2 linked regions of the Callithrix jacchus genome follow. The protein of the gene in region 1 binds, or shares a complex with, the protein of each later gene. Links are inferred from orthologs where the notes say so. Each region holds a gene or a part of one and is shown on either strand. Other genes may lie near its edges. The genes, in order: BCCIP and TENT5A.

Region 1 (3,806 bases):
TTTCTGAGGTTTTATCTCTTCTGGATTCATTTTATATTGAGAATCTGGTAAAAGAAAATGACTTAAGAATCTGGTACAGAGAAGTTTCAATCTTTCCAGAATCTAAAAAGAGGAACAGAGTCGAGGGAGGTAAAGTGAACTGAACAAGGTCATACAGTATTTAAGATACAGTGCTTTCCAAGATGATAGTGGTAAAACTGTGACAGTATTTAAAATATAATGCTTTCTAAGATGACGGCGGTAAAACAGAGTTTTGCTTTTGAAAAGTGAAAAGATAAATGAGGCCTACATCCCAAGACTTGGTATTATACTCAACTAAATATAAAATTAAAATATTTTTTCTTTTAAAATAGCAAACGAATGTTTCAGAAGACAGCGATGATGATGTGGATGAAGATGAGATTTTTGGTTTCATAAGCCTTTTGAATTTAACTGAAAGAAAGGTTGGTTTCACGGGGTGACATCTCAATGGTTATTTCTTAGGCCAAAACCACTTCTATTTAATGCATGGTGGATATATCTTTTATGTCAGATGATGATATTAACGAGAGGGATAAGTGCTGTTATTATAATCCATTTTCAATATGAAGGTGATGGTGTTTTGAATAATCTGTACCCAGTTAAAGTTGTTTACTCCCTGTGGTTTAGGGAATCATCTGGTTTGGCAGTCCTGATGTTGGTACTGATGCAGGAGCTGTTGGTACTGTGTCTCTGCAGCTGTTATCTTTACTACTTGTGTGGTGGGGATATTCTGAGGCTTTGTTGCTTCAAAGTTGAGGGCACTTACTGACATTTTATTTTGTTTTGCTTCATCGGTTTTTATTGACTAATGAGTTGTAATAAAAGTAAATCAGCTGCTTACCCTCCTCGGAATAAGATGCAGGCTACACTTAATCTTTCATTTTGAAATGAACTTTCCAGCTACTTCCATCTATCTTTATGAGGTGGACTAGAGTTGCTATTCCAGTGTGTCTGAATGTTAATTATGACCTTCTTACCACTGATCATGGGATGGTAAGTAACCAGTGTGTTTGCTTTTAAGAAATACTTAAGCGATCAACACTGAAGACGTACAAGATGCTAAAGGCTGTGGCAGCAAACTGCCCTTAGCTGTAAGATGAAAAGTGATAGCTCTCACTTTCAGGTTTTCTCCTGTAAGTGGTTGGCTGTAATAGAAAACAAACTTTCTCTTTGCTTTCTAGGGTACTCAGTGTGCTGAACAAATTAAAGAGTTGATTCTAAGCTTCTGTGAGAAGAACTGTGAAAAGAGCATGGTTGAACAGCTGGACAAGCTTTTAAATGACACCACCAAGGCTGTGGGCCTTCTCCTAAGTGAAAGATTCATTAACGTCCCTCCACAGATCGCTCTGCCCATGTACCAGCAGCTTCAGTAAGAGACTTAGGAAAATGCCTTTGAACAGTAATTTTTTTCCAAAGTAGATTCAGAAATGTCATTTAAGTAGAATATGTAGATAAATAAGGAGCTCTGTCCTTGGGTTAAGTGGGTTTAGTGTGAGAGAAGTGGAAGAAGCCTCCTGTGAAGTGCATACATTATTAACTGGCTTTTTAAAGAGTTTGTGTCAATAATCTTAACCATCTTTAAACTTAAGATTTAAGTGGTATCTAAGTAGATAATTTCATGTAGACTTTTCAATCCCCATTTGATTGAAGTTTTACACCTTTACATACAGCTTTCTGCAACACAAATGCTGAACAATTACAACAATAACAAAACTGGTAAAATTCCCAAATTCTCTTGGTGTGTTTCATAACTAAGGAAACCATAGTCCTGATACTGTGTCTAGTTTTTCAGGGTTTTTTGTTGTTCTGTTTTTTTAATGCAGGAGTTTTAAGATTACAAAAATATTTCAAATGTAGCCGCGAAATCTAGCAGACTGAGTGTAGTAAGAATTGTATTGCTTGTGCTTTGCAATGGAGGGCATAATATAGGCAGATTCACTTATTTATTTCCATCTATGTAATTTTTTTTTTTTTTTTTGGGTAGAGACAGGGTCTTGCCATGTTGCCCAGGCTGGTCTTGAACTCCTAGGCTAAAGTGATCTTCCTGCCTTGGCCCCCCAGTGTTGGGATTACAGGTGTCAGTCGCAGCTCTTGGCCTAAACAGGTTCCTCTTTTTTTTGGAGTTGAAGTCTTGCTCTGTCACTTGGGCTGGAATGTGATAACGCAATCTCGGCTCACTGCAACCTCCGCCCTCCAGGTTCAAGCAATTCTCCTACCTCAGCCTTCCGAGTAGCTAGGATTACAGGCAGCCATCACCATGCTCAGCTAATTTTTTGTATTTTTAGTAGAGATGGGGTTTCACTACATTGGCCAGCCTGGTCTCAAACTCCTGACCTTGTGATCTGCCCGCCTTGGCCTCCCAAAGTGCTGGGATTATAGGCGTGAGCCACCACACCTGGCCTGACAGCTTCTTGATAGAATATTCTTTCTCAGAAGTCACAGCACTTGTGTTGTGGTTTCCCTTTAAATAGCCGTAGGAATACAGTTCTACTCTGGAAACCTTTAGGTTTGCTGTTTTTCCTAGGGATTCAGTGCTGCTTACCTCCTGCTCCCTGTTCTCTCAGCTGCAGCTCAGATTGTGTTTCTGGTGCCTTAAGTGTTTTTTTTTTTTTCCTGATCAGCTGAAGCTCACGTTTATTTGCTTTTATAGAAGGGTGATTTGCTTTCTCCTAGTTTTGTTAAAAGAAAGTTGAAGTGAGGCATACTGGCTCACACTCTAATCCCAGCACTTTGGGATGCTAAGGCGGGTGGATCACCTGAGGTCAGGAGTTTGAGACCAGCCTGGCCAACATGGTGAAACCCTGTCTCTACTAAAAAAAATACAAAAATTAGCCAGGCATGGTGGCAGGTTCCTGTAATCCCAGCTACTCAGGAGGCTGAGGCAGGGAGAATCATTTGAACCCGGGAGGCAGAGGTTGCAGTGAGCCGGGATCGCACCACTGGAGAGCCAACCACAGTAGCACATACCTGTAGTCCCAGCTACTCGGGAGGAAAGCTTGAGGCCAGGAGTTCCAAGCTGCAGTGTGTGATGACTGTGCCTGTGAATACCGACTGCACTCCAGCCCGGGCAACATTACAAGACCCTGTCTCTTTAAAAAAAAAAAAAAAAAAAAAAAAAAAGGTGGTTGGTGGGGGTAGGCCAGGTGTGGTGGCTCACACCTGTAATTCCAGCACTTTGGGAGGCTGAGGCTAGCAGATTGCTTGAGGCTAGGAGTTTGAGACCAGGTTGGCCAACATGGCAAAACCCCAATTCTAAAATTACCAAAAAAAAAAAAAATTAGCTGGGCATGGTTGTGCAGGCCTGTAATCTCAGCTACTTGGGAGGCTGAGGCATGAAAATCGTTTGAACGTGGGAGGTGGAGGTTGCAGTGAGCTGAGATTGCGCCATTGTACGCTGCAGCCTGGGCAACAGCAGCCTGGGCAACAGACTGAGATTTTGTCTCCAAAAAAAAGAAAAAAAAAAAGGGAAAGCTGAAGAAGAGGGTTGTTCTGAGTTTCTTCTTTTGTTCGAGGGCATCCAGATGCACAAGACTATGTTTAATATTCAGAAAGAAGAAACATTAAGGTTTCATTGCCATTCCATTGCTAGAATTTAGGGTATGTGTTTGCAGTTGCTGCAGTATGTCAGAAGTTAGTTTCAGACTCTAGCAATTAAGAGACTGTAGTCGTCACAGGCTGTAGTGACATTGCTTGTGTCTGTATACCTCTGTGTGTTTCAGTTCAATGCTCATTGCTTCCAAAAATTCAGATTCATGTATTTTTAACTTCTACACAGGCAAGTAGTG
Region 2 (4,565 bases), on another chromosome or scaffold:
CAGCTAATACCCGGATAGCCAGCATGGTGATAAGATTTAAAGTCTGTCTTCTTTCATGTCCCATCAGGCACACTGTGCTCTCATTCACCACTCCATGAAGAGTCATGAGATACTCATACTTGCGGTCTTCCAGTCCCACAAAGTGGTTCTGCAAATAGGACTCCAGTTTTCTCTGCTGCTCTCCAATGTCTGAGAAGTCGATGAAAAACCTGGAACACATATACCTCTGAAGGGTCTTGATCTCATCAGAGGCGGGCCTAAAGCCCCTCACCAAGAGGTTGCAGTACTTAAGCAGGCCTCCCCCTCGGATTTCCTCTGGGTTCCTGGTGGCAATGATCTTGTTACAAAGGTGATCAAAGGCTTCCTGGAAATCTCCATAGACGCTCTCCCCGATTATTGTGGGGTGAAATGTCTCAGTCATTGGGTTCTCTGAACATTCGTAAAAGAGCAGAAGAGAGTCTAATTTGATTTGAAAAGAATCTACACTGAATTCAAACTGCCTCCGGAGGGAATCCACAAATTTCAGTTCCACATTTTTGCCACTGTTGTTTGACAGGGATATAAGACTCCATCGGTCAGAGTCATTGCACACTTTAACCATTTTCTGCACATAAGCTTCCTACAATTTAAAAGATAAAACAAAATGAGCAAACCTAGAAAACAATAATAAATTAATAAATAAATAAATCCATCCTCCTCACAGCTGAGAATGATTTTGCTCTTTCCCTTTTGTTTTGTCAAGTTTCAGCCAAACACTATCTACAGGCGTAAACGATCTTCTGAAAATAGAAAAAAAAAAAATACTTTTAACGAGTAGTTTTACTGTCTGGGAAAGGCACTAGAGGTAATAGTTTGAGGCTTTTGGCAGACGTAGCACAGTAGTAAGAGGTTCTGTTGTCATGTCTGACTTTTAAGTGTTACTTTTTGAAAATGGTCTAATAGGCACAATATTCACACAGTATCCAAACAACATTCAAAACTCAGGAAGGCATTCAGCTGTAGGTTAGTCAGCCTCTCACCCTTGTTCCAAGCCACCCAATCCCTCTACGCCCGCGGCAATCAATGTTATCAGTATCTTGTGTGCTCCTCCAGGGGTACTCTGCAGTTACAATCAAATATAAACTAAATTACGACGTTCTGGGAGCCTGCCTCCTCAAACAATTTTGACTTATCATATAAAACCCGTCTTGAACTAAAGTGGAGGGTGGGTAGGGGCTACCACTATACCCTTAACATATGAACCAGCACGGAGAACCACAAGATAGACCTTTAACACAGAGTCAGCTGAGTACTGCTATGAAATCTATTCACCTTTTCCAGTACAATAAAAAAAACTCATTGACTCACTTCTGCTTCAGGCTGCTCTTTTCCCAAGGACTGGATCATAACTCAAAACATTATTTACATCATTTCATTCTGCCGAGTATCAAAATCTACTCTGGACAAGACCCCAACAGGGAAAGTCAAGAGTTAAAACATAAGGAAAAGGAAGAAAGGTAGGGCAGAGGAGGACGTTGGAGAAGAGTTGTAGCGCCGAAGCATCAAGTAAACTGAAACACTCAACACCGTCCACACACGTAAGTTTACTCATTTAAAAAAAATCAAAGAAATACGCGCGCCCAAACCCGTGATGGCCACAGATTCATGGCATTTAACCGATGTCCCTCTGCCCGCTCCCCGTCGCACCCGGTCCAGCCGGGTCAGGACCCAAGTGCATCTCGGGTAGTTTTTACCTTGAGCGTGAGTGGTGTGATCTTCTCTTTGTTCACCCCTTCGGGTAAGAAGTCCAACAGGCAGTCCAGCACGACGTCCTTCACAGTCTGAAACTCCCCTTCCCCGCGCAGGTCTGCGCAGAAGATGAGGTCCAGGTCCTTGTAGCCCAGGCCGCTGTCCTGGTGCAGGACGTGGCTGGCGGCCGAGCCGTTGAGGCGCACGTCGCGGACGCCGATGCGCTTCTCCGCCAGACGCCGCCGCACCACCTTCACAATCAGGCTCGGCTGCAGCTCGAGCGTGGGGAAGTTGCCGCGCCCGTGGATCGGAATGGTCTCGCTCAGGATGCCGTCCAGCCGCTGCACTTGCTCCCAGTTCAGGACGTTGCAGTGCGCCGTGGGGCTTTCGCAATAGTCCAAGCAGTGCTCATCGAAGCTGCTGCCGCCGCCGAAGCCACTACCGCCGAATTCTGCGCTGCCGAAGTCGCCGCCGCCGAAGTCGCCGCCTAGGGGAATGTAGGGGCCGCAGGCCAGCTCGTCCTCGGCCATGGCAAAGTACCCTTCGCCCTCCGCCATGTAGTGCCCACCGAGCGCCACTTGGCCCTGGTCAGTCCTAAAAGGAAGGGGAAAGGAGCGGTAAGGACACCGCGGCGGAGGGCAGCGGCCCGCCAGGAAAAGAGCGCCCCCTCCACCGATCTCTCCCTGACCCGGGGGCTCCTGGGAGACTCTCCCTCCCCGGGCCTTTATAATCCCCAGCCGCGCCCCGCGCCCCGCAGAGCAGCCCCGCACCAAAAGTATCTCTGATGCATCTGGAAAGCACAAGCGAGAGTCCCGTCTGTGTCACCTGGAGGCGGCCGCCCCTTCTAGGAGCGCAGCGAGCAAGAGAGAAACCGCGAGGCGGAAACAATTCCAGGAGCTGCGATTGCGCTCCGGCAGCGACTAGCGACTTAAGTCTTTCCCAGACCCCTGCCGCCTGCGCTCACCACTCCCTCCCCGCGCCCCCTCCCGCGCCGCTGCCGCCCCAGCTGCTGTGGTCCCGAAGGTGGCGGCTCTTGCTGCCGCACACGATTGTGTCTCTGGAGCTTTAGCAGTTGTGCGGGGGAAAACGTCTTCAGTACTTTTTTTATACCGGGCTTTTCTGCGCTTCCGGGGCCCCGGAGCGGCACGCTCGCCACACCCTCCTCATCTGCATAGGGCACCGCCTCCTGCCCCCCGCCCTCCCCGCCCGCCAGGCGCGCAGCGGACTTGCCCAGCCGGCCTGGTTGCGGGTCGACCTCCAGAGAGTGCGAGGCCCCGGGCTGTATGTGTATACGTGTGTGCGCCTATAGCTATGCGTGTATTTATACATACATTTGATTTAAGTACGCCCCCTCCCACATATCTTTTCTCCCATGAGGAAACACATTAAATGCCTCAGGAGTCATAATTGGTCATCAAAACCAGATCACGACTAAAATTCTGCAACTGCAGAAACTTTCTAAAATTTTCGCGGATACTGCCCGTCATTATATCTTCACGGCTGAGATTCGGAGGTTTCTCACGGAGGTTCCTCACGAACTCTCTTAAATGTCGATTTCTAGCTGAGACCATTTACTCCATTGACAAACTCGATCCAAGCGTGGACTCCTGAGTCCACTCGTGCACGCAAATCAGTCACGGCTGCGCGAGTGGGAAGGGCTTGTTGATAACCGGATTTCGATTCTCGAAACCTCGGCAGGCGCGCCAGGGAGCTCCTGGCTAGCAAGAGAAGGCGCGGGGGCGACACCCCAGGCCGCGGGCGTGCGCGGCTCCTGCACAGGAGTGGCTCCCGAGGAACCGGGTGCGCGGCGGGGGCCGGGGGGCGTCACGGAGCGGAGAGCAGCCAATCGCAGAGGACGGGGCGGGCCGAGTGCGGTGCCGAGAGCGCGCACGGGGAGTGCGCAGGGCCCCGGAGTCGGGGGAAAGGGCTACTTGCTGTTGAGCGCTTTGCTGCGCGTTCTTTTTTAGAAAACCCGAAGCGGCGAAGTGTCTTCCTCGCGGCCCGCTAAGGTTTGGCAGTTTTAAGTGCATCATTGTGTCCGTGGAATACTATTTGGTTTCCCATGAGAGGTAAAAGGAGTTTCAGGAATAAAACGAATTCTCCCCTACAGCTTCAGTTACTTCGACAGAGTTAAGGGTTCTCCCCACGCTCACTCGCGCCACCACCACTGTCTTTGCTAGAAAGCTGTGGCCATCTCTTCTGGCCGCTCACAGCCTCCGTCACCTAACCCTGAGCAGCTTTCCCAGCGCCTAGACGCTGCCGGGGGTTAAAGTAGGGCAAAGGGGGGAAATGCCAGGGTCACAGAATACTCCCTAAACCCTGCTCAGCCCTGCCCTCCCAGCCTGGGAAGAAAAACAGCCCGCACCTCCGAACTGGGGGAGTTCCGGCCTAATCACTGAAGCTGCGGGGCTTGGAGATGAGAGGTGGGGTGCTGGGGGGGTGTCACTCGTGGAGCATCCAGCTGCGGGACGACGCCGCCCCCTGCTGGTGTCCTGCCGAGCTGCGTCCCAAAATGGAGAAACCCGACTGGCCCCATGGCAAAGGCCGTCCTCTCAGCGCTGCACCTAAGCACTGAGGTGCGCCTGCGGACTCCAGGACCACTAACCTGTCCTCAGGGGCCATCGCTTCCTTCAGAGCACACCGATGTGGTCCCCGACCGGCCTTCTGTGCATGAATCTATCTTAACCAGGCATTTTATACGTATATACGCATATGCATATTCTTATGTGCACATGAATATATAAGACTATTTTGTCACCTGTTACGTGCCAGGCAACAGGCCAAGTGCTGAAGATTCAAGAATGACTACATTTCACATAGTCTAGAGGGCGTGGCAC

The links.
Region 2: the proteins of BCCIP (region 1) and TENT5A are in contact, whole or in part, in a crystal structure (PDB 8EXE), measured with the Homo sapiens proteins. The link is inferred for Callithrix jacchus from reciprocal best matches to the Homo sapiens genes BCCIP and TENT5A. Residues at the interface, in NP_510868.1 of Homo sapiens: Val57, Asn58, Ile59, Glu60, Phe61, Glu62, Ala63, Tyr64, Ser65, Leu66, Gln146, Val149, Leu150, Phe152, Cys153, Glu154, Lys155, Asn156, Cys157, Glu158, Lys159, Glu163, Lys167, Leu203, Ala204, Ala206, Thr225; in NP_060103.2 of Homo sapiens: Arg87, Gly88, Asp139, Glu151, Gln155, Lys158, Lys184, Glu185, Val188, Gln189, Lys190, Met191, Val192, Lys193, Val194, Cys195, Asn196, Asp199, Trp201, Asn213, Arg289, Lys295, Glu331, Arg334, Gln341, Asn342, His343.

Annotation. Positions count from the first base shown.
Region 1 is NC_133513.1:119,138,857-119,142,662, forward strand, and holds part of BCCIP (BRCA2 and CDKN1A-interacting protein), read left to right. Parts: intron 1-353; coding exon 354-443; intron 444-1,202; coding exon 1,203-1,390; intron 1,391-3,806. UniProt on the Homo sapiens protein: During interphase, required for microtubule organizing and anchoring activities. During mitosis, required for the organization and stabilization of the spindle pole.
Region 2 is NC_133505.1:87,246,666-87,251,230, forward strand, and holds the start of TENT5A (terminal nucleotidyltransferase 5A), read right to left. Parts: upstream 2,807-4,565; 5' UTR 2,519-2,806; coding exon 2,499-2,518; intron 2,323-2,498; coding exon 1,734-2,322; intron 620-1,733; coding exon 1-619.